Struthio camelus: one gene and its partners. The protein of the gene in region 4 purifies or fractionates together with the protein of the main gene of each other region. This does not show direct contact. Links are inferred from orthologs where the notes say so. Each region holds a gene or a part of one and is shown on either strand. Other genes may lie near its edges. The genes, in order: PSME4, PSMD5, POMP and PSMB2.

Region 1 (7,594 bases), on a different chromosome or scaffold from region 4:
ATCACTGAAAATTATGCATACAAGAACAATTATGCAAATTAACTGACAGACATTATATCTAACAAATCCCAGTTTTAGACGTCTTTCCCTACTCAATTCACGACATCAGACAGCTGAAGCAGCTGCATTTAAGAAAACTACATGTAAGTCATGTTCTCAGCTGTTGCACTACAAGAAATAACAAGATTTTTGGTTCAGCTGTCATCATGAAACAGTAACTCGTATAAAAAATTCCCATTTTGAGTTTTCACTTTCATTCCTCATACCTCCAGAGTCTATGCACAGCTGTATAAAGTTGCAGTGTACCTGAAGAGGTAGAGCTATACAGGTATATAACCCATGCATGCTTTTTTTTTTTTTTTTAATTCATATGTTTGCATATGTTACATTGTCTGTCTATATTAGCATTTTTATCTGAACAAGAAAGATTCAAGACACACCAGCCATAATTCCAATTTATAAATTACTTCACAGAATATTATAAGAATACTGACTTTTAAAATATAGACATGTAATAAACTAGGCAGAGATCTTATGACAATTCTGATCATTTTCAGGTTAAACAAATGCACAATTTATTATAGCTGGCTAGCATGAAAAAAGGTATAAAGTTGACAATGAGATGAACTACTTACTACGAACAGATAATAAAGCTCTGGTTTTACTGTCATTATGTTATAATTTGACTTAGGCATGACAAATCAGAACACCATATTTGTACGTTTTGGAAGTATTTCATCTAGAGCTAAACTTTTACTGAAATATTTTATCCCACCAAACCGTTTTGCCAAATTAAACTGAGCAAGCAAAATATCTCTAATGTTAACTATACTAGCTTATTTTAAACCAACCCCACAGTTTTCTTCCCTGCCTACATCCAAACGTATTCAGTCTTACTGCATGTAATATGCCACAAAGAAGTCTTGGGAAAAACAGGCATCAGACAAGTTATAAAACACACACAGTAAATTTAAACTTCAAAGAGTAGGTGGAAAACCAGAAATTAGAGCCTCTGCCCTTTTTGTGATTCATAAAGTTAGCATAGCAGCTGTTCTCAACAGGTTAAATTCACTGCCCTGAAGCCTAAACTGATAACAGTAATTACAGTTTACAGAATGACTAGCAGGTTAATTCTAACCTATACCCGCACATCTTCAAAGCAGGTAACCGCAGGAGTTACTACCCTATCTAAGGTACATCTTTCTCTTACTAAGCACTGCTACAGTTTATTTCAGCTTGATTAGCATATGAAGTTCTGCCACAAGTCCAAAGACAACAGGCATCACTGTAAACGGCATGAGCTAGCAGATGGCTACGGAAGGGGGGGGGGGGGGGGGAAGAGTACTGAACTGGGTCCAAGCAGGTTCAGATCGTCTCTGAATGTAAACATGTGAGTCATTTCGCAACTATCAATGTAATTCTATCTAAGAATGCCTCTTGGCAAACATAAGGTCACTTACATTTCAATACATGTGTACCAACCAGATTTTTGACAGCCAGATATTTATTAAATTCCCAATACTTAAAAAAAAAAAAAGAACCCTACCTTATAGAAGAAGTAAAACTGCAAATGAATATAAATTCTACCAAATGCACGCATTCTGCCATTTCTAGCTCATAGAAAACACCAAGTATGAAGGGACACAGAACGTTCATCAAGAAGAGAATATTCAGAGGAATAAGGTGTGCCGATTGAAACTACAGCAGTCATTTGACACCATTTTTTAAGTGCCAGACTGGCCAGAATAGCACATGTGAAGAAAAAAAAAAAGGGTAAGTAAGTCTTGTAAAATTTACTAAGAGAATTCCACACTCTGCTTGGTATGAAAACACTGTGTTTTCAATCTATATAAAAATCATCTTGTCAGCACTCACATTAGAGCCAACATAAACTGCACCTTGCCACAGTACAGGCAAGACATAGAGGCATTTTTTTTAATTATTATTTTAAACTAGGGCACTAATTTTGTTAACCCAGCAGCAAAACCAGAATTTAATCCTTCCAGCGCCGAACTAACAAAAGCACAAGCAGCCTGTTTTCAGAAAGACTTCATGTTCCTACCGCAAAAGTTGTGAACAGAGATAGTATCTTCCGTAACTTGCTTGAAACGGCAAGAAAAGAAACAGGTGGTCAAGCGCGCATTTAAAAAGAAAACAGCTCGATTCATACAACTCGGAAAGCTTCTAAGACGACAGAGGAGCTCTGGGAAACGAAACCACCTTTGTCCCGGTTTCCCGTTTCGGAGCACTGCGTGGCCTTGTGCAAGAGGCCGGCTGAGCCCGCCTCGCTCCGGCCCGGAGGCCGCGCACCGCTCAGCGCACGTACCGCAGCCCCCCCCCCGCGGCCCTCGGCGCCCCGGCAGCGGCCGAGGGCAACCGCCCCGCTCTCGCTGGCGAGTAACCGTTAGGAAACCAACGCGCTTCTGCCGAGCGCCGGCCCGCCCGGCCCTCAGGCGTGCGCCTGGCCCGCCGGGCAGCCGTGAGTCACCCCGGCTTCGCCTCACGGCGCCCGGCAGCGCCCTCGGGCCCCGCTCCGCGGCGCTTCAACCCGCGGCCTGAACCTGCGCCACCCCCGACCGGGCCCCCGCGGGCAGCGCCGTTATCAGCGGCCCGAGACAACGGCCGCCGGCCTTGGCCGCGCAGCTCCCCGCCAGGGGCCGGCCCAGCCGCCCGGCTCGCCGCGCTCCCACCCCCGCCGCTGCCGACCCCTGGCGGCAGCGGACCGGCCGGCGCCGCCCCTCACGGCCGGCGGGGGCCGCTGAGCCCCGCACTCACGTGGAGAGCTTCCGGGTCCAGAAGAGCCCGCCGGGCCACAGCTCCTGCAGCTGCACGGCCCGGGCCAGGTTGCCTTTGATCTGAGCGAGGAAGCGCGTCGCCTCGGCCTCCAGGCAGTCCCCGTACGGCAGCAGCTTGTTGTACACGATCTCCTTCTGCGGAGCCGCCGCCGCCGCCATGGCCGGCGCTGCGCTGCGCTGCGCTGCGCCCTGCCCCGGCCCGGCCCGGCCCGGCCCCGGCTCGGCCCCCCCCGGCGAGTCGCCCAGCGGTGCGCGGTGACGACACAGCCGAAGGAACGGCCGCCGCCCCGCGCCGCCGAGGTCACTTCCGGCGCCGGAGTTGGGGCGGGGGGGGTCCCCGAGCACGGCGGGGAAGCGCCGCTGCTGGCCGGACACCTGCCCTGCAGCGGGCCCGGGTGGGCGGAGCGCGCGCGCAGGGCGGCCGTTAACGGCCGTGCCCGCCAGGAGACCGCGTCCCGCGTTACCGGCTGCGCTGAAGCCGCCTGCGCCGGAGTTGAGGGGAACCGGGCGGCGGCGGCGGCGGCGGGGGAGGGTCGTTCGCTGGATCATCTGGCGACCTGTTGTTACGTTTCGGTTTCGGCGACACCACAGGCGTTGCCTGGGGACAAACCTAGAATTAACGAGAACAAAGCTCGTGCTTTGTACCGTTTCATTTGTACTGCCCTTTAGTTGCTTTAAGCAGCATCAGTTTTCAAGAGGTGCTGTCACGTTTTATTCTGGGAGCCTACCTGGGCTTGTTCGCTGCTCTTTTCCTGTGTCAGTAACAGTGGCACAGCAATTCGGTAAGTTAGCCTGTTTGGGGTATGCTTTTCCTTACTATCCACAGTCAGCACTTTCCCTCTGCCTCTGACAGTTGTGCCGAGCGGTAGCTGTATCTCCTAATTCTGTCAACTAGGGACAAATGGGATATCCAAATAACCTGTGGCAGACTCAAGAGAACTGGGGCAAAAGGGGTGGCTGTAGTCAAGATACTGCCCTAGGCACCGAAATAAAATGACTTTGTGGAAAGGCCATAACTCCTACCCAAGTTTAGAATTCACTTTTTGTGGCTTTGTGGTTTATTAAAGAGCCCTTTTGTAAAGCTGCTCTGATCCCAACATAGAGATCATAATAAAAACATTCATCTTTCAGTTCTCTTCTAACTTCTGCAGTTTAGGACAGTTGGATGCTAGTTGTTCCCAAACGTATTTATTTTTGGTTAAAATTGGGTATCCAGATCCATTACATTAGCAGTTGTGAGCTAAATGCATGCTCCATTACTGATACAAACTGTATAAACTACATAAACCTTTTCCTCACAGGGGCTGAGATTTTCACAGTTAGATGTCTGAGTACCTTGGAGACTGGTATTTGACAGCCTTTAAGAATCTGCATATAAACTGCTGAGAGTGTCAATACCTGCAGTCTGATCGAGAAGCAGGGAGACTTCTAGAGGTCCGAAGCCATCAGAGCACAGTGCAGGTGATCATAGAGATTTGATGCTTAGACTTGCATAATAGCAGAAAGTTGTGTTTCTGCTGCCCTGCCTTCTTGTTCATTATGTGCTAAAAGAGGGTGTATAAACGTGGAATGAGGATGGACTTCTTCACTGGCGATAATCAGTTACAGAGTTTAGTAGCAGATTCTGTAACTGTCTGTTAAAGATATTTATTTGAAATAATAAGGCCAGTCAGTAAAGCGGAGCTCAGCGGTGCCTGGTCCTGCCGTTGACTTCTATGGGTGTAGGATAAAGCCTGTGATGGATATATGATAACAGTACTGATGGTTGTTATCTCCAGCTGTCTCCTAAATATAATTGTTAATTGAATTTCCCCTCAAGAACTACATCATGACTATACAACAGCTGCAAGCTGATTAGATTTAAAGCTGCTGACAAGGGCAAATCCTGTTTTCTGATCTTTATACTCAGATTAGCTCTGCTTAATTTTTTTTTTTTTAAATGGCTAACTAAATGCTGAAGCATTTTATAATGAGAAGGAAAGCCACAGAAAACCAAAGTAAGATAAGCAAAGGCTGTGATGCTCAAATATTCCCATGGCATTTTCGTGAAGAAAATATTTACTCCATATCCTTATACGACTTCTGTCTCAGATATTATTTTTGTTATCAGTGCAGAGCAATACTAAAACTGTGCAGCAGGAGATGATCTCGTGTTATATTCATGTGTCTGAAGAGTGACACTACTTTGCTTTACAGGGGTCAAGTAATAATCAGTGCTATAATGTTCTTTTGGAGAAAAGTACTAGTAAATCAGCATTATATAAATATGGTTTTACCAGGGGCCTAAAGGTGGTTCTATGCTACTCCATAGCTTTCCTATCATGAATTTTTCCCGTAACGTTTTGGGAAAGCAAAAGTTTATAACCACTTTTAGCACACCGAATTACTCCTTTTTTCAAAGCTTTAGTGAAAGTCATTATTCTGCATTATGGGCTGAGACTAGGATAAACAGATACTTTGCTAATTTCGCTTGACTAACGTATTAGAAGGGGTCCAGCCTTTCTGAACAGATACTGAAGAAACAAAGTTAATTCTACCTTTTCTCATTTTCCTAGACCTATACCTTTAATAGGGAAAATATGACAATTTTGTTGTGTGTTTAATACTTCTCAAATATCTTTCAATTCCTAAAAGATTTTGTGTCACCTATGTCTATTTTTACTATAATTTTAATTGTGATTTGGAGGGTATTTGTTGACATCTTTCATAGTGGCTTTAAAATTAGATTCTTTTGCCTCATATTTACGCTATGCAGAACAATCTATACATGAATTTGTGTTCAGGAGTTAAAAAAAATGAAACTTGATGGTCAAATTTCTATGTGGACAACTACGTCTTGTTTATTATTTTGCTGGTAAAAAGAGGAATAAACAAAAGGTGTATCTGAACACCATGAAATAAATGGTTTTATCATAAATTTAGATAAGAGTCAATTGATTAAGTGGCTCAGAAGCTGAAATTAAAAAAAAAAATCCATGGTTAAGGGTAAGTGAAAATGTCTATGGAATATTCTAAATGTGTCTTGAACCTAAGAAATCTGAAATTACTTCTTTTCTAACATTTACAGGCAAATCTTTTTTCCTACTCAGTTGTGATAGTGGATTGTCCAAACAGCAATTTCCAGTGTGGAAAAATGTTCATTACATTTGAAGAATGACAGAGTTTATTTAGACTTGGAAGGAAAAAAAAAAATCAGTTATAGTCCAATTTTTTGAAATTGAAATCGGCAGATATGTAAGGAACTTCAAAGCTGCATTCTGTTGCTTCATCTCTACATTATCACAAAAAACTAGAACTGTAGATATTCAGGGAATATCTGAATATGTAAACCACAGTTTCTGCCCTTTGGGCCTGAGTTTAATTTTTCACACTTTTCTAGGTGTTTTTCAATTTGAATAAACATTCCCAACCTCAGGGAGCTCATTTCATCTGAACCAGCAGACCTCCACATCTGTGACTGTTTTACCTCAGACACGCAAGTGCCTTCCACTGGAATTAAACACCTACCTTTCAGGAAAGATTGTGCGAAGTCAACAAGATCATCACATTAAAGTCATCATGCTAAATAATCTGACCCTCTCATTCTGAGAAATATGATTCTTGTTTTCAGAATCTGCAATGAGGAAAGAGATGATTCTGAGTCCGTTTGTAATTACATACATAAAAGCATATATATAGTACTTGTACTTTCCAACTATTTTCTGTATATTGATTAATTTACTAATAACATTTGTCAATTTAAAAAAAATGAACCATTTCTTTCCCCTAGTATGCTAACATTCTACTGTTTAAAAGGAGAAAAACAATGCGTTTTACAGATATGTTTTACCAAGTGAGTTAAAAATAAATTTGTTCTTCAAGTTTGCAATGTGTTTTGGCTGTAGCAGTGAGTAAAAGCACATTTGGTTCCCGAGTCAGATGATAAAGAACTAGCTTTCACAACAAGGAATCCGTCTGTGCTGCTTGCATCAATAGCTTTTTCCTCTCTTACTAAGTAGGAGGAATATGAATTGAGAGCAAACTAAATATGGTTGCCACCTGCTGTTTTTGGCATTAAATCTTGAGATTTGATGAATCCAAGTTAAGTGTTGAAGTTGTGAAAAAAATACAGTCTTTCCATTCATGAGAAATTTCAGACGTTAACAGGGGCTTATGTCAAGTTGCACATTGTTCACACGTTCCCTTGTTGGATGGCTTGCTGCCGTAGGTCAGCTAACACCAGCACTGTCATCAGTATTTAGGAAACTTGTCACTCAGCCTGAACTGTGGTTTCTACTATCTCATCTTTCAAGCAACTTCTTTTCCCACGTGGACGTTTTGTTTAGTGACCCATCTGTCCTTTCTGACCTAAGTTAAGAGTGGAATTTGGTGAGTGACAGGCTTCTGTGTATTTTGCAATTTGGAAAATAACACCCAATCCAACAGGATATGTCCTGGTCCGTGACCCCCATACCTCAGAGAACCCCACTACAAAATACAGTAGCATAATTTGCTTTCTTCTTTGAAACAGAAGCGTCCTCAGACTTACTCTTATCCCAGTGTGTCTCAGTCGGTCTGTCATCCAAAGCAGGTGGTGAAAGACTCCAAAGACCCTGAAGAAGCTGCTGCCATGCTGCTCACCAACTTTCAGGCAAGGTGGTAGTAACTTACTTTCTCCAAGAATAAGCATCTGTAAGTACTGCCTGCAAATCTTTACCCTAACAAGGGCATTTTAATTGCAAGGAGCTGCTCCCTTTCAGGATGGAGACCTGAGTCTGTAATTACTGCCTGCTCTGGAAGGGTATGCTCCCCTGCCTCAG
Region 2 (6,821 bases), on a different chromosome or scaffold from region 4:
ACTTTCTTCTTTTCTTCAGAAGAATCATTGCTATTCCTATTAAGCTCTAGTACGCCTAAATTGCATTATTTTTCCTTTGCCTTACATATCTAGAGTGACACATTTGGCATCTCCTTCCGTTTCTTCCCCCTTCTGAACTTTCAGTAGGGCTTCACATCTCAAGGTGAGGAGACTGCAGAAACTGTTTTGTTTTTATTTTCAGAAAAGCAAGCATTCTATTATATCGTTAGCAGTAACTCTGCGTAGCCTTTCCAACACCCTAAGCACAACATATTAGAAAATAAGATGTAAATAACACTTGAGTTCTTTACGTCTTTGTACCATAAGGGAGAAAGAAAAATTAAGATGTTATCTAAGAATCAACATTGCTCTAACCTTCTTCTACTTTTTTGACAAGATTAAAAAAGAATAAATGAAGAGTTTGTATAGCAGCTAAAAATCTGCATATTTACAGTTTCTTAAAATTCGTTTTAAACTTAGAACTGCAGTCCCCTGCAACTCAAATGCTAACATTTATCTCATTCTTACCTCATACACTCTATACCGTACAATGTCATTTGTTGCCATGACATTTTTCAAGTCACTCAACAAACTGCTCACAAATAAAGCCTCTAAGCCATCTTGTGTCTGTGCAATTCTTGAGAGAGATTTGATGGCCTGTGAACAAGAACAGTAGCTCATCGTAAGACACACACGGAAGAAAACTCAAACCAGGATCTGTTTAAACCAGGCTCCATTAACATACCAAATCATAGTTATTCAGCTAAAATTCTAACGTCCATATGTTTTTCCAGTGACAATTACTCATATCTCTGCTGAAAGCTAGTTTTAGTTACTGTGATAAGCATTAAGTTCACATCTACGAGTTTACTTCGGGGTCAATGGCTACTGGAAGATAGCAGTTCTGGGTAAGATTTTCTACCCCATTTAATCAACTTTTGACATAGGTCACCTACTTGTTAATTTTTTTAAACCGCATAACTGATATCATTCTTTCAACCTACAGAAGCTCTCTTTTCTTCAAAGAGGAAGAGAGATGCCATCTCAGGTGACAGACTATTCAGACAGTACCCACCACAGAGAATACCTTTTCTACATCAGTTAATTTATTAAGGGGAGGGGGTGGGGGAGGGAGAGAGAGAGAGAGAGAGAGAGAGAGAGAAAACACACAAACAAAAAACAAAGCTTACCTCTTTAGCCACAGCTATTTTCTCTCCACCAATGCAATAGATTATTTGCCGTAATAATTCAGGACTGTTGATAATTTCTCTAATAGCATCTGGATTTTCAACAATCCTCCCAACCTAAGAACATGATTAAATACACTATTAGTTTAGTTGCATTCCTTTATACGAACATTCTGTTAATTAGAGAAACAGTCTTTAAAATAAAAGCTTTAAATATAAGATCTGAGGTCTATATGCCAGTCACCGCATCACGAGCCATGTTCTAATTTCTCAACTTTTTCTTGTACTGGGGATTCCAGAACTGGGCACACTTTGTACTCCAGTTGCAATTGCACAGAAGAGTCGAGGAAGCATTGACAAACTGGAGCGAGCCTGGTGAAGGGCTACCAAAATGATTAGGGGGCACAGAGTGCACTAGGAGAGGCTAAAAGGTCTGGGTTAATAAGAGAAGGCTAAGAGGAAATCATGGTGTTGTCTTCAGCTACATAATGGGAGAGTCTAAAGATGACACAATCAGACTCATATTTGAAGGTGCACAGAGACAGCAACGAATTGCAACACAGTAAATTCTACTATTAAGATCAAATTTTTTTCACCGTGAGAACAGCCGAGCACTGGAACAGCTACCCAGAAAGGCAGAATTTCCATTCTTTGATGTTCAAAACGGGATAACGCCCTGAGCAGTCTGCTGTAAGCTGGCTCTGCTTTGAGCTGGGGGTTGGATCCAACACCCCCAGAGCTCCCTTCCAAACTACATTATTCCTCAGTTCTGTTCCTTTAAACTAAGGCAACAAATACCAAGTTACTAGAAACAGTCTACTCCTTTTCAGTATTTTCACAATATTGTTCAAAGCATCCCGAACAGCAAAACTGTTGTTGTATTTAATTCCTGCAGCACCTGCTGCCAGTGCTGGCTAAGAGCATTTTACAAAGAACTAGAGTCCATGACACACAGAAGATCAATTTACACGTTACCTGTGTCAAGACACAGTTTTACATACTATATTTACCAGTCACACCATTAAGTACTATATACCTACATATTGCACAGTAGGTGCCCAAAATTGCAGGAGCCCATACAAACACTTAATACAGTGCTTTTTTCATAGTTCATAGTAAAAAAGTACCAGTAAGAGACTGAACTATCCCAGCCTGACCCAAGAGGGAGCCCTGGCCGAGCTGGAAGGCCAGGGACAGGAAACCATACCTGAGATATGGTGAGGATTTTCACGGAGTCGTCAGGATGGAAAAGGCCTTTCTGAAGCTCCTCTCGGAGGTTCCGGATGAGGTGGAGGGGGTCCAGGGCCTGTAGCAGCCGCTCCAGGATGGCGACACACGCAGACACCTGCTCCCTGAGAGGGACACGGACACCCTGAGGAGGGAGACACGGCCGAGGCCCTCAGCCGTGCCGGCCCCGCTCCCAGAAGGGCAGGAAAAGCGACAGGGGAGAGGAAGAGCGCCATGGGGAAGGCAGAGGGGAGGCGCCGGGGCCGGCCTAGGCCAGGCCCGCGCTCACCGGTCACCGGCGCTGAGGAGGCCGAAGAGCGCGCCCAAATGGGCGTCGCGCAGGCAGGGGCGGAGGGCGGCCGGCGGCACGGCCTGCGCGGCCAGCCGCAGGGCCCGCAGCTCCTCCAGGGGCGCCTCGGGCCGGCACGCCCGCTCCAGCAGCTCCGCCACAGCCGCCTCCGCCATCTTGGCACTGCCGCCGCCGCCGCCACCACCTCCCCCGCGCAACCGCCGCGCCGTAACCAGGGGGTTCCTTTCGCGTCCGCCGCCTCCGCCGACAAAATGGCGGCCGAGCCCCGCCCCTCCCTCCTTGGCCCCGCTCTGATTGGAAGGGCCGCACGGAGGGGCGGGGCAGAAAGGGGCGGGGCGCGAGGGGGAGCCGCCCCTCAACGGTTTTTTCCGTCGGGGGAAGGAGCGTTGCTGTCGGGGTGGGGGGTTGAAATGCGCCGGCAGCCCCGAGGTCAGGCCCCGAGGAGCAGGGGAGCGCTTCCAGCGGGGCTGGGCCTTCCTGCGCCGAGGGCCTGCGCGCTCCGCAGCTCCGTTTCGCTTTTTGGAGGAGCTGGGGGGGAGGCGGTGCTGAGGCCCGGGAGGAGGCGGCCATGTCCCAGGCGGGGAGTTTTTTAACACCTCAGGCGGTTATCGCGGGAGGCACGGGCACAGCCACCTTCCTCTCGTCAGCAAAGCTCCCAAGGGTCTGGAAAAATTCAGCGGAGCCAAACGGTTCCCGCAGCCCCCCAGCGCGGTTCCCCGCTTGACCCCCCCCCCCCCCCAGCGAGCAGATGTCTCGCCGCCCCTCCGGTCGCCTCGACCCTGGACACCGCTCCGGAGTCGCTGCCTTGGAAGTGCAGCGTCACCGCGACAGCTCCGTCCCGGCGTGGGCAGGCCGCACCGGCTGAGAAGCACCGGGTTTGGTTTATAGCAGCAGAAGAAAAATAGTTCAGTCCACAGACAGGGAGGAAGATGGTTGAATTTGGCACATACCGGCCTCTGTCCGTGCCGCAAGGCACTCTGAGCGCTCTGCGGTGTTTAATGTCTCCCCGACGTCACCGAAACGGCGCGGCTCTGGCCGCCTTCCGCTGCCTGGTGGCGGCTGTCCGCGGGGACGCAAAGCAGGAGTACGACTGTCAGACGTTTTGATCTAAATCCAGGCACCAGAAATGCCGTGGTGAATACATCCTCCTAATAGCTTACGAGAACTGGCAGGAACGTAACGAAGTTATATTTTGAGAAAGAACGGCCCTCTTTGTTCCTCTGCACCAGATCGCTTAAAGGAATATTGTTAAACGTTTTAGGGCCAAACAGCATAACCGAGTTTATCGGCTTGCTAGCAGTTGCTACACAAAGATTACAAAGCTGCAATAATATGAGGTCTGAGGGGAAAAAAGCGATTTTACCGATGGGAAAATTAAGGCACCGATGCTGAATGGCGATCGCCAGGTGTCTCGGAGCACCCCCTGGGAGGAACAGATTTATTTCTCCAGCAGATTTTGGGGCAGGTAGTTTGGGGAACAGCACCAGCGCTATTAGGAGTGTGTGTTTGGACTTGCTATGGGCCAGACCCCGCGTTTGGCTCTGCCAGGCCCCGGCACCTGCTTGGCCCCGCTCTGCAGGGAGGGGACAGGGCTGGAGGCGGCCGTGATGCCGGCGGACATCCAGCCGACTGGCGAGCCCTGTGCCAGCCGGGGAGGAAGAGGAGGAGGAGTCTGTGCTGGCTGCGGCCAGCCTTCCCAGCCAGCCCCGGCCGCGCTCCCAGCAGCGCAGGTGGCGGGACGGCGCAGGACGGCGGCTCTCGCCCGGCGCGATGAGGATGGAGTGGCTGAGCCAGCGCTGCCAGCCGCCCAGCAGCCAGACCTGCTCCCGGCCGGGCCGCCTGGCCCTGCTGCTGGTAAGTGGGAGCCACATCGCGGGACACGGGGACCTGCGGCTGGGAACAGCGACGGCGTTTGTCTGCGCGCGAGGCGACGCGGGAGATCCACCGGGGAGCCAGACGCGCGCGACCTGGGCGGCCGCAGGAACGCCGCCACTCACCCCTTTGCAAGGGCAGCTCTGCAGAAAAAGAGGGGTCTTGCAGGAGAGGTGGGATCTCAGCCTGCTTTTCAGTGCAATAGTTACAATCTCGCTGTGGATTTTTCAGTTTCGGTCACTTTAACATTTTGGCAGTTCTGAATTTATTCAAATTATTAGGCGCGGGTGCCCAAGTTTCACTCCTTCACTTCTGCACCACCGCTTGGCAAATACAATTATGCTGAAAAAAACAGCATACTTTTCTTTCTTTTTTCTCTTTCTTTTCAAAAAAAAAGTGCAAGAGATGGGTCACTGTTGTATTAGTATTCACTCACAAATGTTCATGGGGATTTTCCTCATCATATGCACAAACATCTTCCAAGAAGATTAATGATTGCCATGCTGCACAGGATGGATTTTTTTTTTTCCCCTGAGCAGGGAACATAATTACATTTTAATCTGGAAAAATAGGTACACCAGCCTATCCCTTTTTGGCTTATAACTGTCTGGGTAACTTCTGTGATTTGTTGCATAATACTTGTTAAATCGCTTAGTGGGACAAAAGAACACTAAAGAAGCTCTGAAAATTATTATGAGAAGCCTTATGATAACAAAGAGCATTTCCTCAAATGGGCTGAAAAAAAGGAGACAACCAATATAAAACATCAGTCGTTTTCTAAACAGAAAAGAGTTCCTGTGTTTGTGGTGAGAAGAGAGATATCAATAATTTTTAAAAAAACTATGACATTTACCCTGTAATGGGACGTCTTTTAGAGGACAAATGAGGGTGGAAAAAAGGGAAAAAGGAATATATTCTGAGTCTTATAAAAATATTGTTATCACTGCAGATGAGTAAGGGACAGATGCTATTTATTTAAAAAACAAAAGACAAAGAGAAGAGCAACTGTGCAGAGACAGTGAGCGTTGCACGCAGAGGGTGCAGTCACCCATTCGTTTGCTGTTACTCAGCACACCAAATTAAACTTTGCTATCCTAGCAAAGTCCAAGCTGAGCTGCTTTATCGAATAAATATTTATAGTGACTGTTTATGGCACGTGAATACAATGGGAAGCTAAGGGACTTGCCAGGAACCGGGATCTGCTGTACAGCAAAACCGACTCGTTGCCAGTGTACTGCCAGTCGAGAGAGAGAGAGCACTGTTGTTCTCTGCAGGCCAGTGAGACGAGGACAGCCGTACAGACTTGGGCTGTGTCGATTAGGATTTCTGTGCCCAAAAGGATCAAACTTGACTTCACTATTAGTACCAAGCAATTAAGAGGAAACAAGACCAAAGCCTGCATTTCAGTCTTATCCTTCCTTACCTGCTATGCACTGTTTGTACCATAGCCTGGATGGACTGTGAAACATCTGTCAGCAGAACAGAATAATCATCCTGGGCTAGCAGGATTGCATTAAAACAAACCAGGGCCCTTTTTTCTATTTTTCCAATAGAGATGTAGTTTTTGATCTAATCACAGGATTTAGGGAAACAGGCTAAGTATGGGTCTGATCTGGCTTCCCAAAACGTAGCACAACAGGACATCACGTAGAGGAAAAGCAAATGCCTATGAAGGGCCACGTAGTCTGGGGAAGAGATTCCCTAGTCCTGGCAGCAGGTGGCTGCTAAGCTAAACTTAGTGAGCTAGCAATGCCTGCCTGTGCCTCCAGTTTGTCTCTTGAGTGTTCCCCATGAACATCCGAATGGGCAACAAAACTTTGAGCCTCCCTTTGCCTTACAGTGCTGCTCCCCACCCTCTCTGAAGACACGGAGTATGTACTCTAGCATGGCAGCCTTCAGGACATGGTATTTTAGGATGAGCAAAACCACCTCAGAACCAGGGTCCCCCGGCTTTCGTTACTCTCAGTCAAGCCAGGCACAGCCACCATCATCCTCCAAGCAGCCATGCAGTCAGGTGCGCTCGCCTCGAGGACGGATTTGGCCCACAAGCTGATAGACACACAAATTTACAGAGGAGGCTACTGGGCTGTTCAGGGCTAAAGACCTGAAGACTTTGTGGGACTTCCTGCTGTAAATAGGTTTGGGCTGCACTTGTCAGATTTGGAGACAGAATGGCAGCCGTTCCTTTTGCAACAAACTGGGTATCAGGCATTTGTAAGAATCTG
Region 3 (7,486 bases), on a different chromosome or scaffold from region 4:
GTGGCAGGTGTCCCTCTCTCTCCCCACTAACAATAGAGGCTGCGTACAGAACTAACTTACCAACTTTTAATTTAAAAAGTTTTCTGAAATGAAAGTTATTGAAATAAAGCCCAACTTGGAAGTCCGCTTAGATACTTGAAGTGGAGAGACACACAAGTGGGAAGTTACATGTTAAACAAATTTGGCAAGAATATTACTGGCATAAATAAAATGTTATTGCTGTCGAACATTTTTATTTAATTAAAAACAGGACCTTACTCATTCCTGGCTGCTGCACAAAGCAGTGCAGGTAACCATACTGTTAAATTAAACTTCCTAATTAGTTAAGAGTGAGGATGACTACATTTGATGTTATACTTGCATTTTTTTCTGACAACTCCAGTGGATGGCTGGGCAACAATTCATTTTTCACGCTTGTAAAGCTAAAAATGTAGACAAAACAATGTAATTAACAGAAAATTAATCAGAACACCATTCTTTAAGTTGCAGTGCAATACTAATTCCAGATATAAACATCAATCCACAGAGACATGAGATTAGCATAATTTCAGCTATTCAAAAATGATGCTTAGTGGCGAAGAAGCAGAAATGAATTCTTAATTATAGCATTGTCAGAAGGAAAAAAAAACCAAAACCTTGTATAAGATTCTCAGGCATCTTCTTTTCCTTCAGTTTTATATTTGATATAAAGGAATGATAATTTTTTCTCCTTGACCCGCTTCAGAAATAGAGAAACATATCAATAAACTAAGTAGGTGTGCAGTTAATGTAGAAGAGTCTCAATTTTTTCTAAATTTCTTCAGACTAAATACTGCACATACTTTCTCCCCATAGCTGTTTCACCTGCATTTTAAACTCCATGAAGTTGTTGCAGATTCAATACCCAATACATGTACATGGTTTTGCCACTCACATGAATTGTTAATAAGAAATACTATTTTTATAAAATTTACTTTCTGTACCAATCTCAAAATCAATCATTTTGTGCAGTTCTATGGCACATTCACACATACATATATATATAAACTAGCACATATTTCATAATGATTAAGACTTTGTCATTATTCTCTAAAAAGGAGCATCAAATGGGTCTAAGTCCATTAACATTATCTACTTCTGGAAGTGATGTTTCACAGAAAATTAAAGCTTGAATGACAATCTGACTGAAAACAGGTGCTTTAGCCACAGGTTAAGAGATACATCTACAAAGAACTTCTTCAAAACCACAAATATTTAATATGTTTTTTCATATATTTTAAGCTTCACATCAACTACTGCACAATTTGAGAAGAAACAATAAAGCACACCCTCTACGCAGAAGATCATGACCTCCAAATGGTCCAGCAGGTGAAAATTCAGTAATCGGGATACTATCCTTCAACAGAGAAGTAGCTCCTCTGGAATTCTGGAACAAAGAGTGACGATTACTTTTACAGAACCAGGCCCCATTTGCCCCTAAACAAATGAAAATTACGAAGATTCTACCAACTTTTTACTAAATAGTTCAAAAACTCCTCAAACTACTCAGGCACAAGTCTTAGCCTTCAGAGTTGCTTTGGGTGGAGTGATGGGGAAAAAATCACTAGGTTAGAATGCTTTCAGAGTCTGATGATACTTAAACATTTCTGGGAGCTGGCTAAAGCAGTTAAAAACCATAATTACCCTTGTTCATTCCCAACCCTGTGCTGCAGCGATGGGTGGGGAGAAGTCAGGTCACTGCCCAGCTGATGGGACACGTCTCAGTATTCCTTCAATCATGCTAGTACAGAAACAATCAATTGCAACCAAACTGGTTTTATCTACCATTTAAGGTTGTCCTAAAGAGAATAAGATGTATTCATCCATTCTATTACATCAGTTAACTGGAAGAGCAAAGAAGAAATGGCAACTTGCAGCAGACGACCAGATAAGACACATCTCCATGGACTTAGTAAGTAAAACCATCTTAACCCGCATCAGCGATTTAAAGCTACAACAGCTGATGACATTGAAGGATTTTTAGGACTGTTGACACAAACTAATCCATCAACAGATCAATTAGTAACAATCTCCGGATGGTGACAGCAAGGAACTGCTCAGCACAGGTGTTTCTTCCATCAGTTTTGTTGGGTCCAAGAGAAAACACATGCTCACAGTTAAGTCTCTTGAAACAATATACTACCATTGTGACTGTCAGTAACCTAAAGGCTATCAGAAAATCCTAAAATGTCTTCTACTGTGTCTAAAGCATCTACGAATTAATGTACTCAATAGTGATCTGATCTGAGATTGCTGCAAACAAAAACACGTAAAAAAGACTATTACCTAAAAGGTATAACAAGAGGGGCAAAGGTTTAGGAGGATCGAAGTGAAAGAAAGTAAAAAGAAAGCAGAAACCCGGGAAGTACTTCCAAAAAGCGAACCCCTCAAATCACGCCAGCGACCAGTCCGGCTCAGGCGGCCCCACCCCCGGTAAACACCACGAAGGCTGGAGGCGCGAACTCCGCCACCCCGCCTGCCGCTCGCCCCTCCAGCCCCGGGCTCCCGCAGTGCCGGCACCACCGGCGGCCTTGGCCTCCCTCTCCCTCCCCAGCTCCCAGAAGAGGGGCTTTAAACCACAACCAAGCGGTCCCGGGCGCCTTCCCAGCCGGGGACACCGCCCTGGGCGGGCCGCCGCCTGGCAGGACGCGTGCCCGCCATGGCCGCGCCGGCCCCCAGTGACTCAGCACAGCGCGGCGCCCCCCGCCCCAAGGCGGCGCGCGGCGGCCGCCGCCCCGCCGACCGTTGGGACCCAACGGCCGCGGCGGGGGCGCGGGGAGGAGGGGAGGGAGCAGGCGCGCGCCTCCCCCCGCCACCCCGGCGCGAGCAGCACAACCGACCCCTCACTCACCATCTTGGCCCGACACCCGCTTCCGCTTCCGCCTCCCCCGCCTCCTCACTTCCGCCCCTCCCCCGGCGCGTTGCGTCACGCGCAAGGAGCGGCGGCCGCCCCAGCCAGCGCTGGCTCGGGGAGAGGCGGGGCCTGGCGGGGAGGGGCGGGGCGGCGGCTGCCCCGCGGTGGCGGTTGGCGGCGGGAAGCGCGAGGGGCCGGCGCCTGGCAGGGCCTTGCCCGGGGTCTGCGGGGCTTCCCGCGCCCGTTTGACGCTGGCCGTCAAAAAACAGCATTTTTGATGCCACCCGAAGTCCCCTCCGCTGGCGCCTGGCTGCCCGCCCTAGCTGTGTGGCGGCGCTGGTTGATGGGGGGCTGTCGCCTTGCGCTTTTCTGTGGCCAAGCTTGTCGCCCCTCAGCAGATGGCGGGCAGGTGGTGCCAGCCAGGGGAGGCGCCTGAGTGACCCCCACAGCGTCACCGCGCTGGTGGCTCGAGAGAGGGAGGGAAGGAGCCGCGCTCCCCGAGCTGAACGCGGCCTTAGGCTGTGTGCCGGCCCCTGAGAGATCTCCCTCTGCGCAGACGGCTCTTGTGGCGCCCTGTTTTGCCAGGGACTTGGTCCTCTGCCGGTGACCGGCAAGGACCGGCCCACGGCAAGTTTATCTTTGGAAAGGTTCACAGCAGCAACAGTAACAACGCAGGAACTGCGTACTTAAATAATTTTGGAAGACTTTCCAACCATCGTTAGAAAATTTGCCACAGATTTTGCTGCGCTGCTCCAGATGTGCATCGAGCATATCTCTCACATATGTCTTCTGAGACTTGTGGTTTGCTCAGCACGTTTCACATTTTGCCCCAGATTGCCCTGCTGCTACGAATTTCATACATGGCAGTTAAAATGAACACTACGTACTGTAGAAAAAGTGATATTAACATGGGAGTTTTATATATATATATATATATATATATGTATTGATAGCACACTCAGCTTTGGATAATATTTAATTACAGAGAAATTCATACCCTTTTATTGTTATCCTCTTTCTTCAGCAGAATCAGGTCACCAGTTCAAAAATCTTTCCGAACTGAAGCTACGGCCCTTTACGTGAAGGTCTTCGGTTTAAAGCAAAGACTTCAAAAGAATAAAAATGTAAGACTGGGTTTTAAAATTATTTTTAGGAAAATGGGTACCACAAAGGCTTCTCTGATCTTGTAATTATAATGGGTACTCGGATATTGTGGTGCTGGGTTCATTATTATAGAATAGATGTGAATACAAAAAACAAATCAACTTCCTGTTTTAACTGCAGCTTACAGAAAAGCTAGGTTTGTCACTAAATGTATTTATTTATTGACTGAGTTTGTTGATCAGGATATGACTGCGGAGATGAAACATCTAACTTTCAAAGTCATTCTTGCAGGACACAGACAGGATACAATCACTCCATGTACCATTATTGACATCACTGCAATCCATAGTTTAGGCTGCATAACTAACATAAAAGAATGCACATTGCGAGAAAGATCTGGTTTTCCTTTAAAGACAGACTTTCACGCTAGGGAAAACTCCCAGACATAAACACAAATCACAGATATGTTTTCTCATCAAATTACCAACTGTTTTAAATATGAGCAAAGTTGGATTTCTTGCACAGCCTGTTTTAACGATCTTACAGTGAATATCTTAGTACTGGATGACTGTAATATCTCTCGTTCCTATGACCGTATCTGTGTCTCCACTGCACGTTAATAGGAATGATAGGAGCAGTTGTCAGGCTGATCAAACTTTTTATCAGAAATGAGAACCTGTGGTGAGCCATGAGCGCTGCAGTTACTGAGAAGCAATGGGTATGGCTACCCTTTCCTGAGCTGGCCTGCTGCCCTGCGGACCCGGGCAGTCTCTCTGAGAACATCTTCCAGGCTGCTGGTAACAAGACGGAAAGTGGGATGCAATGATTGTGGCTGCTGAAGAGGTTTTCTTTTAGACCGTATGCACACCCTAAAATTAGTGTGAAAATTACTGCTACTGCTCTAAAATTATTACCCTAGTAAAGTTTTGGCGGTGAATTTCACATGTTGCTTTTAAAGACAACCTTAAAATTATTGGGTTTTTTAGGAATAAAAGGTTTTCCTTTCAACATTTTACATAAAGAAGGCCCAAAATGTATGCATGTTTTAAATTTCTTTCTGCATGTTTCTTACCTCAGCATTTTTGGAATGTCAAATCTGGTCTCTTTGGTTTAGCTGAGGGACTTCACTGAGATTTCAAGAGATATATAGACCATGAACTCTTGTATGTTTTAGAAATGAGGAAAGTGTTGACTCTTTAAAAATACACACTTGTTTCAAATACCCTTTCGGCAATTCAATTGGCATTAACAAACATAAAACCTCGTTAAACAAGGGTTTAGCCAGCCTGACTTAACATGCATTCCAGCCTCGATTGCTTAGCTTTTTCTTGCCTGGGTGCCAGCACGGCATCATGTCATGAGGGGTCTGTACTTTTGCCGCTGAAGTCTGTGGCAGCGACTTTCCAGGTGGACTGGAAGCTCATGCTGACAGAGGCCCGGCTGGCTGGGCAGAGGCCGGCACATCCAGGCCTGCTCTGCCCAGGATCTAGGGAAGCCAGCTCTACTCTAGGGACTCTACTGCTCCGTAATTTTGAGCTAGTATGTCCAGCTTCTCCACTGAATTAAACGGTACTTTTACCTCTCCCATTCTTGGAACTTTTTTATATATTAAAATCAATAGATGGAAGAGAGAGAAATACCCATTTTTTAACACCATGGGTCCTATTTAATAATAGCAAAAGGAGTATATTGTCCAAGGAAACTTGTCTTTGTGTCAACATTTACGAATACTGATGTAGCTTTGTCGCTTTTCAAAATATAATTCCTTTGCCATATCAGTGGGCAGTCTGTTCTGAGTACGTGAACCTCTACCAGAAGCAAACCTTTATCCTGTGGGGCTGGGAAACTCTTTCACTGGTTTCTGTCAACAGCCAGTTATAACCTGTTAAAGTGAAAGTACTTTTTATTTGTTTTAATCAAATCAAATAAACACATTTTCTTTGATCTTTAAGAAGCCCTTTCTTGTTAACTTGCTTTATACTTTTATGTTTCAGTATTCATTGTAAATCTAATTATTTTAAAAGTTATTTTGTTTTAAATTATTAAACCTTTTCTGAATTTAAGATAAACAAGAGCATGTTTTGTTAAAGATTAAAAATAAATTTCACACAAAACTGCAAAACGTAGCAAAGATAATAATGTGTAGGCGTCAGAGTGTTCCAAAACAAGACTCTCTAGGGGCTCTTCTAAACACATGGCTACGTTAAAACCATGTTCTGAAAAGCCTCAGGAAACCCCTGACTCTAACCCACCCTTTCCTGAAACTGGTGAAAGTATTTAGAAAAAAAGTTACTGTTGCAGAGGAAAAAAAAAAAAAGAATCTCACTTATTGCCAAAGCAGATGATTTTTTCCTGTTTGTTTATTAGCAAATCCACAGCTTGCTGGATTTTTTGGGTCAAAACGTGCTCATCCTCATCCTTCAAATCCAGCAAACAGTCCAATATATGGCAAAAAAGGTCCATTATCACCTCTCTATGAAAGGTAAAACTAATGTGCTTGTAGCTACCCGTGGGTAAGTAATACCAACGTTCCCTTGTTCCATCATTTGATTTATGAATTATTAGTGAATTTTAAATGAGACAGTAATGTCTTTTCTAAAATGTCTTCAGTTGCTGTTTCGGAAGATGAAACAAGGACTGCCAATTTTTTTTCTAAGTCAGGTAAGGTACTTGGAAAGAGGCCCTTGTCGTCTTGAAGCGATAACTTATTTCATAGCTTGTCAGTGCTTTTGTAAGTCTGTGACTGGCATCCGTAATCTTTCCTCTTTGTTTGTAGCAGTCCCCTGCACAGACTCTAAGAAATCTGGGCTTCTGTTTTCCGTGCTCCTTCTGCGGAGCCGGGAAGGCAGGAGGCTGCAACGGGGAGAGCCGGTCACTAGGGGCTGCTCGGTAGCCAAGCTCGCTGCGCCGCCCCTGCCTCCTCGCCACTTGCCAGCCGCCTCTGGTCAGTCTAGCTGGGCATTAGATGCTTGTGGCACAGTTAGAGTAGTTTTACTCTTCACTCGGAGGATCGGCAAAAATAGGGTCAAAGGATAAAAAAAGAAAAAGGTATATGCAAAGCTAAAGCTGCACATGCAGTAACCAGGAGAATGCTGGTGGGAGTATTTCTCTATTAATAGTCTGAATCATCTACTTTCAATATGCTGTATTACACCCGTGTAGCAATATTCATCTTAAATTACTTCTTCAGCCCAAGTCGCATGTTTTACCTAGCTAATGTTCGTGTAGTCAGGACCTCACTGCTCACAGGCAATGCCGAGAATGAGAATTCAGAGAAGGATATTTTTGTCTTTTCTCTGAGTTTGGAGAGAGTGACTGGCCTCCCAGAAGCATAACCATCCTGCACATATAGGTGAGACTAAGCACATTTCCTGTGAGAGTATCTTCCTAAGGGAAACCTTGAAAGCAATTAATAGTAGTCACAGCTGAAAGACTTGAATGGAACATTACTTCCCATTCCTGCTACTGTGCAGGGAAAAAATCCCCCAAGAGCTTGCCAAAATGCCTGAC
Region 4 (7,524 bases):
TTAAATCTTCTTTAAGCTAATATCCTAGGCTGCAATTCTCCTTTTCCTTTGCTCTGTTCTCCCTTTGCATTGCTTCCATCTGTTTTGTTTGGAATAGATAAAAATATAGATGAACACTTAGAGTGCCAAAGCAGTCACCTGAAGAAACTAGTCAGACCTTAGCATTCTAGGTCAAATAAAATAAGCAAGCTTATTAAGATAAAAATATTTTGACAAGTAATATTTTCTGGAGTTTATTTTTTTATTTTTTACAAATGTAACTGTAGAGAGCTTTAAGCTAGCTGCTCTTATTTACACAAAGTAATACTACTAACTTGCTAAGAAGTGAGAAAAAATTGGACAGTTACATACTTCAAATTGCCAAAATCTTTCCGATATTACTCACTCTACTCCGAAGGTAATCAGCTAGGTTTCTGCGTGTAAAATTTGCAGCTGCAGTAGGAGATAATTCATAACCTGGTGAAGAAATGCATATATTTGATAACAGTACAAATCCATATCCATGTTTCACTTTCTGATTCGCCTGTTTTGAAATAACACGATATTATTGAATGACATGTGACGTCATGTAATTTGCCTAATTCCAGTTTATTCTGGAAACTAATTATAATAACTGCATAAAAAGGGCAAAGTTCAGATCGCTCATGTCTCTATGGATTGTTAAAATGGACAGCTTCAGAAAGGTAAAGTACTATGCCTGTAGCCTGAATTTTTGATTTAAGTGTATGAGAAAATCCGATAACCGTTGTCATGCAACGGACGTATTAAGAGAAATATTTTACTAACGTATCTATTACCATATCACTCATTCATATTACAACAAGGTTAGATGGGCTTTGGATAAACATGCTGGTTTATGCTATATATTCAAACCTATTCCAACTTGCAACTGCAAACTACACTAACTCTGCATTTTCAAACCCTCACTCAGTAACACTTCTCACCCTTCACTCACCATTTCTCATTTTGTAGAGTTGAACATTCTTCTGGATGTATTCTGCAAACTGTACAGTGTCTCCAGCTTCCCCAACACACAGGAGTAAGATCTTTTCACTCATTTTAAACATTTTGTCATGGTCTAGGCAAAGAAAAAAAATAGCATCAAAAGCCAAGGTCATGAAAAGAATAAATTATTTCACCAGAATCAAAACGCTTCTGAAAGAAATTGTTATGTGTCAAGTTAAGAGACTCTGATAACACCGTTATATCCTGGAATGCCACCCAAAAAGTCTTCCTGAGTAAACTTGAACATTCAGTTTCTCACAATTAATTGTTAGTGTAGTATGCAAGACTCGTGTTAAACACATCACCAAGAGAAACAAAGATGAAATACATTAAGTGCTTCTCTCAAAGGGAGGTGTTCGAGGAACATATGATCTTACTTAGAATGAAACAATGACTAAAATTTCAGAGTGTTTTGTTCAGATAAAATTTAACACGTTACATGATGTGCTCCTGGTTCACAAATAAGGACTTTGCTTGGTAACTATTCTATTTTATCTGAATATACTGCATTATAAACAAATTTCATCTAGTATAAAGCTAGAAGTTATCAATACATTAAGCCAAAAAAATCATGACAAATACAGAACCAAATTCCATGTCAAAATGATTCCCTCCTCCTGCTATCCAGGACTGCTTTAAATATAAGCAATATGGATGAATGTGGCTTTAAAATGTTCTGGCTTGTCATTGGTTGCCAATATTTAACTATTCTCCTTTTTTAAGCAAAGAAAAGCAAACATCTGAATATTGATTACAAATTACAAAACAGTCCACTGAAATATTCTGGAAATAATGAACAGTAAAGTAGAAATTTTCACTTGTAATTACAGTTTCAAATTTGCAGGAATTCAAGTTGCCATAACAACAATGCTAGATGACAATTCTGTGATCTCTCTAAGACTCAGATCTTGTCTAGTTAAAGCAAGCTACTGCTCAGGTGAGACAAATATGAATTCAAACAGCTCTTCGTGCAAAAGGAAGACCACTTCCCAATCCTGAAGCTAGGTCCAGAGAACAAACTAAATCCCAGCATCTGAACCTCACTTTCAACTTACTAAATACTGCTGAATAATCTCAGTTGCAAGAGGTTCGGAACACCACAGACCTTTAATAGAATTTAAAGAGTTAAAGCACCTAAAAACTGTAGAGAAGTTGCACGCCTTGAGAGTTCAGTGTCTGCTTTTGAGTCTGATCAGTCTTTTCAACCGACTGAGAGTTTGAGGTAAATATTAGTAAATGCCAATATTCTACACAAATAACTAAAGTTGGGGTTTTTCTTTCTCAAACAAAACCAAATAAATCCTGAAAGATATTTCCTGAAAGATAATCAACAGGCCATTTGGCATCAAGGATGTAAATTTACAAAACATATTGCTTAAAGAGGTCACCTATGCGTTTTGTATGTGCTGACATACTTCAGGTAGCAGCACTGCTAGCTTTAACGCTGAAAGTTTACCGATATTGCAGTGCACTTTTTTTTTTTAAAATAAGAGCTCCTAAAAACATTGTATTTAAATTAAAAAGGCCGCTATACCCTGTAAACAAGGCTTCTAGTCCACGTTATTGCAACAGCGGGTGGAAAAAAACACATTTTGGAGAAATTCGAAGGCACGAGAAACCCCTAGTTTATTCCCTCAGGTAAAGAAACTAAAAGACGTTACAATTGGCTTGGTAGATCTGGTGCTGCGGTACCTACTGCTACACGAACGGGTTCATTTCCCTGAGGCTTTTTCTTTCAGTACTCCCTTTTCACCGGGCCCCCGCCTCGCCCCTCACCGTGCTTCATCTGGAGGATGCTGGAGGCCGCCACCGTGTCGGCGGCCACCAGGACGTAGTCGGGGCCCTGGATGCCGATGAGGTACTCCATGGCCGGCCGCGCTCCGCCGTCCCCGCCGGGCCGGGCCTCGCCGTGACACAGCGAAGCGCCGCTGGCCGCCGCCGCCGCCTCCTCCTCGTCACGCCGCCCCCGCTCGCGCGCATGCGCGGGGCGCGCGGCGATGACGCCGCCGTCGCCGGCCCTCGCGAGAGCCGCGCCCCGCGCGGTGTGTGGGGGGGGGGAGGGGGGTCACGTGGTCCGGGGCAGCGCGCTCTGTGTCTGAGGCGGGCGGGAAGTGGGGCGGCCGCTGTCACGTCGCCGTGAGGTGGCTCAGGACCCACCCGGGGGCGGTTCCCCCCTTTTTATAACTCTCTTCGCTAATCACCTGCCTCGCCCTGACGAGCCTCGCCGGGGGCAGCGGCGGTGGGAAGGGTGCGGGGCTGGGCTGGCCTGGCCGTCAGCAGCGCCTGGAGGGCAGCCGGCCGCCCTCCGGCTCCTCACGGCTCTCTGCGAGGCCCGGTGGCTCCGGCGAGCCCAGCCGGCGGCCAGCCGGGCCCGGGGGTCCCCCTGCCTCGGGAGCGCAGCTCTGGGGAGGGCGCGAGGGCTTGGGGCACTCCCGCACAGCCGGCCCGGCCCTCTGCGGGGATGATGGAGGTTTCAGGCAAACCCATCCCCCTGTCGGGTGGATGTCTTGGTATGGGACCACAGTCTTGCCAGTCTGGGTCCTTGGCACTATTTCTGGCCAAAATATACTTTGTTTGTTATTAAAGAACACGATTCCAAGGACCAATCTTAAAGGAGATCTGCTGAAAACGAGGTGGGGATAACTGCACATCCCATTTCTGCCCCACGCGCTTTGAAATAACACCAAACCGATCTGGCTGTCCCTGCCAGAACAGATGGCTAGATCTGCTTTCTATTGAAGTTCTTTGGAGATCCGAGAGAAAGAAGAAAAATTATAAACCCTGCTTGGAAGGCAACTGTTCCTTAGGCACAAATTCTTTCAGAGATAAATGATTGGCAGTGCTGCAGCCTCTGATCTATGTAGTCAAAGGGAACTGAGCTGTGAAGAGAGGCAGTGAAATCCTTCCAGGAACAGTGGAGTGATTTATCTGCTGCCCATCTTTCTGTGTCAGAAATAGCCAGCCATGCCAGCTGTGCGCGGAGCCAAGCCCCGAGCCCCTGCACGAGGCTCCCTGCAGCTCCTGCTGCGCTCCGCGGCTAGAGCCGGCCGGCTACAGCGGGTTATCGTGCGGTCCAGGGTCCCTCCTGCCGCCCTGAACATCATCCTGAGCCAGGATTCCCTGTAGTCAAAGGGGCTGGTTGTAAAGTTTGACTCGTTGAGTCAATAAAGGATTTTTTTCTGACGGACGTGTCCATGCCAGCCACCAAGGGGAAGCTCCTGAACTCTGAGCTTCAGAAGCGTCTGATGGTTTTCGTATCGGATGATGGCTTCAGAAGTCATCCATGAGCTCGGATAGAGACCTTGGACGATGTTACTCAATTCCATGGCCTGGCTGGGCAGTTCAGACAGCTGCTGAAAAGCAAATGCTGTTCTCTGCTATTCCCTTATTCTTTTTTCCCTGCTCTCGATCTACTTAAATTTCTCAGGAGAAATATCTTCTCTTAGGTGGCTCTGCAGCACCCAGAGGCCTCCAGGTGTGACCACAACATAGATAATTAATTACAAGAAAAACAAAGCGAATGCCCTGGTTGACTGGACGTTGTCTAACTGCAGGCACTATCCTGACGAGCAGAGTAACTCCAACGGGCACTTAGTTTATTGATTAGACTCTGTCCCTGCCTGAGCCCCGTCTAATATGTTCACTAAGTGCAGCTCCACAAAGACGCAGCACCATGATAATGAAAGGGCCCGCTGAAGCATGACAAACCCCATCGCAGTCACCATAAAGGATGCAGCCCCAGGAAATAAAACTTTGGAGGCTGCAACACATGGCAAATGCCCAATTGCACCTATACCAAGAAAGTCACTGTGTAATTACGAGAACTGGGCATAACCTTTGTGTGGTTTAAAAAATACTAAACATGCCAAAAAGCAACAGCAAATTGTCTTTAGGAAACAGTATAAATGAGTGTAAGCAGCAAATTCACCATTTTGACTGTTTTCCAATTGCCTTTAGCTACACTTGTTAAATTGAGTGCTGCGTGCATAAATCAAAACAGGATGCTTTCTTATACCTAACAATGGCCCAGCTCTGTGCCAGTTCTTAAGTGTATTTTGCTGCGTGGATCCAATCTGAAGTTTTAAAAACGTTTCTCCCTTTAGATCCCTTGTACATATTACACATGTGCATACAGCCAGCCAGTCCAAGCAGTCGTATTTTGAGACCTTTTTAAGAGAAGGTTAACGAAAAATCAACAACTACCATCCTTGTTGATTTTTATTGGGCCCTAGGGTACAATTAAATGTTAAGGTTGTTATTGAATTTTCTCGACAGATTGAATTTCCTTGCTTAGGAAGCACACATACATACAATACACACCTACTTCTCTTCCTAGGGTGAAGGCATTTCTAACATTACTACGTTGGTATAATAAGGACAGCAAGACATCTGTGCCTAGCAGAAACTGGGAATGTTTTCTGCCATTAAAGGGAAATTGCACAGGCTGCAGCATGCCTTAAAATCAAATGTGTCTTTGCCTATTTTATTTTCAAGACAAATACTGTAGTTATGCACGTGTATGTGGCCATATGACCTTGGTAAGGGATATTCCATGCACAACTGCTGCAAATAGCACAGCACTAATAAGTGGCCTCCATAAAACTCTTAAGTGTGCTGAGGTATCTGATATACAATATCCATTTTCCGATATGCTGAGATCCTATGTCCAGGATACTGAGATATCCACAGGCTCCGTGGTCCTCAAAGTATCTTTTCCCACTAGGTCCAGATAAGTTACGGAGCTGAACCATCCCAGCGTTACAAAGCAGGACCGGAGCACAGAGAGCAAGAGACTGTGACAGAGAGGCGAACTGGCCCTCCGATCCTCCCATCATGGTCTCTAGCAACTAAAGTATTTTTCAGTTGGAAGACTGATTCCTTCTTAAGAAGGAAGGCTGATCCTGTAAGGAACTGCAAAATTAAAAAAAAAAAAAAGGAAAAAGAAAAAAGATCACCCACATAATAGGAAGCAGCTTTAATTTATTATCTAACTTGCTGTAACTCCCTGGACAGCAAATTGGTGTAATGATATATACAATGAAGAAAACTCAGCAAGGACAGACTGGTTAAGACAGGGAAAAAGGGGAAGGCTGAAAAGTAAATAGAAAAGCTGGCAAGGATGAATAGCTGTCATGTTGTTTTCCAAACAAAGGCAGACAAATCATATAGTTGTAGTCATATGGGAAATCCTATGAGACAATGTAAGTTAGTAAAAACAGTCCTCAGTACAGCCCAGAGAATCAGGTCTGTGCTTGATACAAATCTGCCAAGCCATGTTACAGACACTGGAGCTGTTCCGGCTGACACCAGCTGTGGGTCTGGCCTGGGCAGTAATTGCTCATCTCCTCCAGTGACATGGGCTGACTGGTGCGTTCTAATTTAAGATGATATTTACAGAGGAAAACATCACAGTCTTTTTACTAGGTGCTGATTGCTCCAGCAGAGATCCTAGTGCTGAGTAGGAAATGCAGACAAGTCGTTACATCAACAGTTGGAAAACGACAGTGTCCGTGAAGACATAATCTGGCTTTGCAAATCTTTCAGCAGCTCTTTTTCTTCCCCGTTATTTTTTTACCCCTTCACACATTGTCTGCAAGATATTGCAGTTGTTATTCTTACCTTTACGCAACAAGCTAACTTTTACCTGATCGGCCTGCACATTCTGCTGTGCCAGCCAGACATCAGCTGCCTGGCCACCCTGTATGCGATTGCTCACATGGTGTATGGTTATAATTTAATGCTTAGCAAACTTACCACGCTTTTGACATTTGTAAAACAGCAAAACACTGTACTAAGGCTCCCCGCAGGGTCTATCCCAGGTCTGCATACACCTAGGGGCACAGGGGCTGTGCGAATTCTCGCGCAGTACAGTTACAGCTGTGCCAGAGAGAGACGATCTGCAGCGCAGAGAAGCTGTGATACGTTTACCGTTACTCAGCCAGGAGCAAGCATGCTGCTTTCTGAACTTCTAGGCCCTTAGCTATTTGCCTGACTACTGGCATCCCTTCTTCTTCTGCCTGATACAACAGCAGAACATTTGTTATAGGGGACACAGTCATGGGTCCAGTAGGTGATGCCTGCTAAATGTGCCAGAGGAAGGGGGAAACTGCACAGGTTCTACCTCTGTCTCCACTGCAGCGCTCCCAAGTTCCCGTTCCTCTTCCAGAAAAGCAATGCTGTGCCCTCATGGGCACACTGCTGCTGCCTTGTGCTGAAGCAAGGCTGGACCGTGCACTGGGCCTGAGACGCCCAGGTTCAGCTCCCTGCGCTGTCCCCGTCACAGGGCAGCCCCGCAGGCAGGGGCTGTGATATGATACGTAGCTGCGGTGTGAGGGGTATTTTTCAGTCTGACTGCTGTTTGCTCTGGCTTTTGCCCTTTGCTGTGATCTGTCTCAATATGGTATTAGTAAAGACAGTGTTACAATTACTGTAATGCCTAGACAAGGTTTCCTGCTGGGAGTTCAGTGCTTTCCAGAGAAGAAAAGGAGCCCCGTGTTCCTGCTGCTTCAGGTGCAGGAA

What was found.
Region 1: the proteins of PSMB2 (region 4) and PSME4 purify together in Homo sapiens (affinity purification with mass spectrometry; 3 studies listed by BioGRID and IntAct, counting the BioPlex papers as one, with this or other methods). This does not show direct contact. The link is inferred for Struthio camelus from reciprocal best matches to the Homo sapiens genes PSMB2 and PSME4.
Region 2: the proteins of PSMB2 (region 4) and PSMD5 fractionate together in Homo sapiens (co-fractionation; 3 studies listed by BioGRID). This does not show direct contact. The link is inferred for Struthio camelus from reciprocal best matches to the Homo sapiens genes PSMB2 and PSMD5.
Region 3: the proteins of PSMB2 (region 4) and POMP purify together in Homo sapiens (affinity purification with mass spectrometry; 5 studies listed by BioGRID and IntAct, counting the BioPlex papers as one, with this or other methods). This does not show direct contact. The link is inferred for Struthio camelus from reciprocal best matches to the Homo sapiens genes PSMB2 and POMP.

Annotation. Positions count from the first base shown.
Region 1 is NC_090944.1:119,473,687-119,481,280, reverse strand, and holds the start of PSME4 (proteasome activator complex subunit 4), read right to left. Parts: upstream 3,012-7,594; 5' UTR 2,955-3,011; coding exon 2,776-2,954; intron 1-2,775. UniProt on the Homo sapiens protein: Associated component of the proteasome that specifically recognizes acetylated histones and promotes ATP- and ubiquitin-independent degradation of core histones during spermatogenesis and DNA damage response.
Region 2 is NC_090961.1:3,081,950-3,088,770, reverse strand, and holds the start of PSMD5 (26S proteasome non-ATPase regulatory subunit 5), read right to left. Parts: upstream 3,006-6,821; 5' UTR 2,880-3,005; coding exon 2,704-2,879; intron 2,540-2,703; coding exon 2,395-2,539; intron 1,305-2,394; coding exon 1,191-1,304; intron 658-1,190; coding exon 529-657; intron 1-528. Other genes in the region: protein CutA, read left to right, coding at 4,242-4,769. UniProt on the Homo sapiens protein: Acts as a chaperone during the assembly of the 26S proteasome, specifically of the base subcomplex of the PA700/19S regulatory complex (RC).
Region 3 is NC_090942.1:200,249,165-200,256,650, forward strand, and holds the start of POMP (proteasome maturation protein), read right to left. Parts: upstream 3,004-7,486; 5' UTR 2,873-3,003; coding exon 2,870-2,872; intron 1,406-2,869; coding exon 1,308-1,405; intron 423-1,307; coding exon 362-422; intron 1-361. UniProt on the Homo sapiens protein: Molecular chaperone essential for the assembly of standard proteasomes and immunoproteasomes. Degraded after completion of proteasome maturation. Mediates the association of 20S preproteasome with the endoplasmic reticulum.
Region 4 is NC_090964.1:9,943,563-9,951,086, forward strand, and holds the start of PSMB2 (proteasome subunit beta type-2), read right to left. Parts: upstream 3,021-7,524; 5' UTR 2,873-3,020; coding exon 2,782-2,872; intron 1,079-2,781; coding exon 956-1,078; intron 457-955; coding exon 386-456; intron 1-385. UniProt on the Homo sapiens protein: Non-catalytic component of the 20S core proteasome complex involved in the proteolytic degradation of most intracellular proteins. This complex plays numerous essential roles within the cell by associating with different regulatory particles.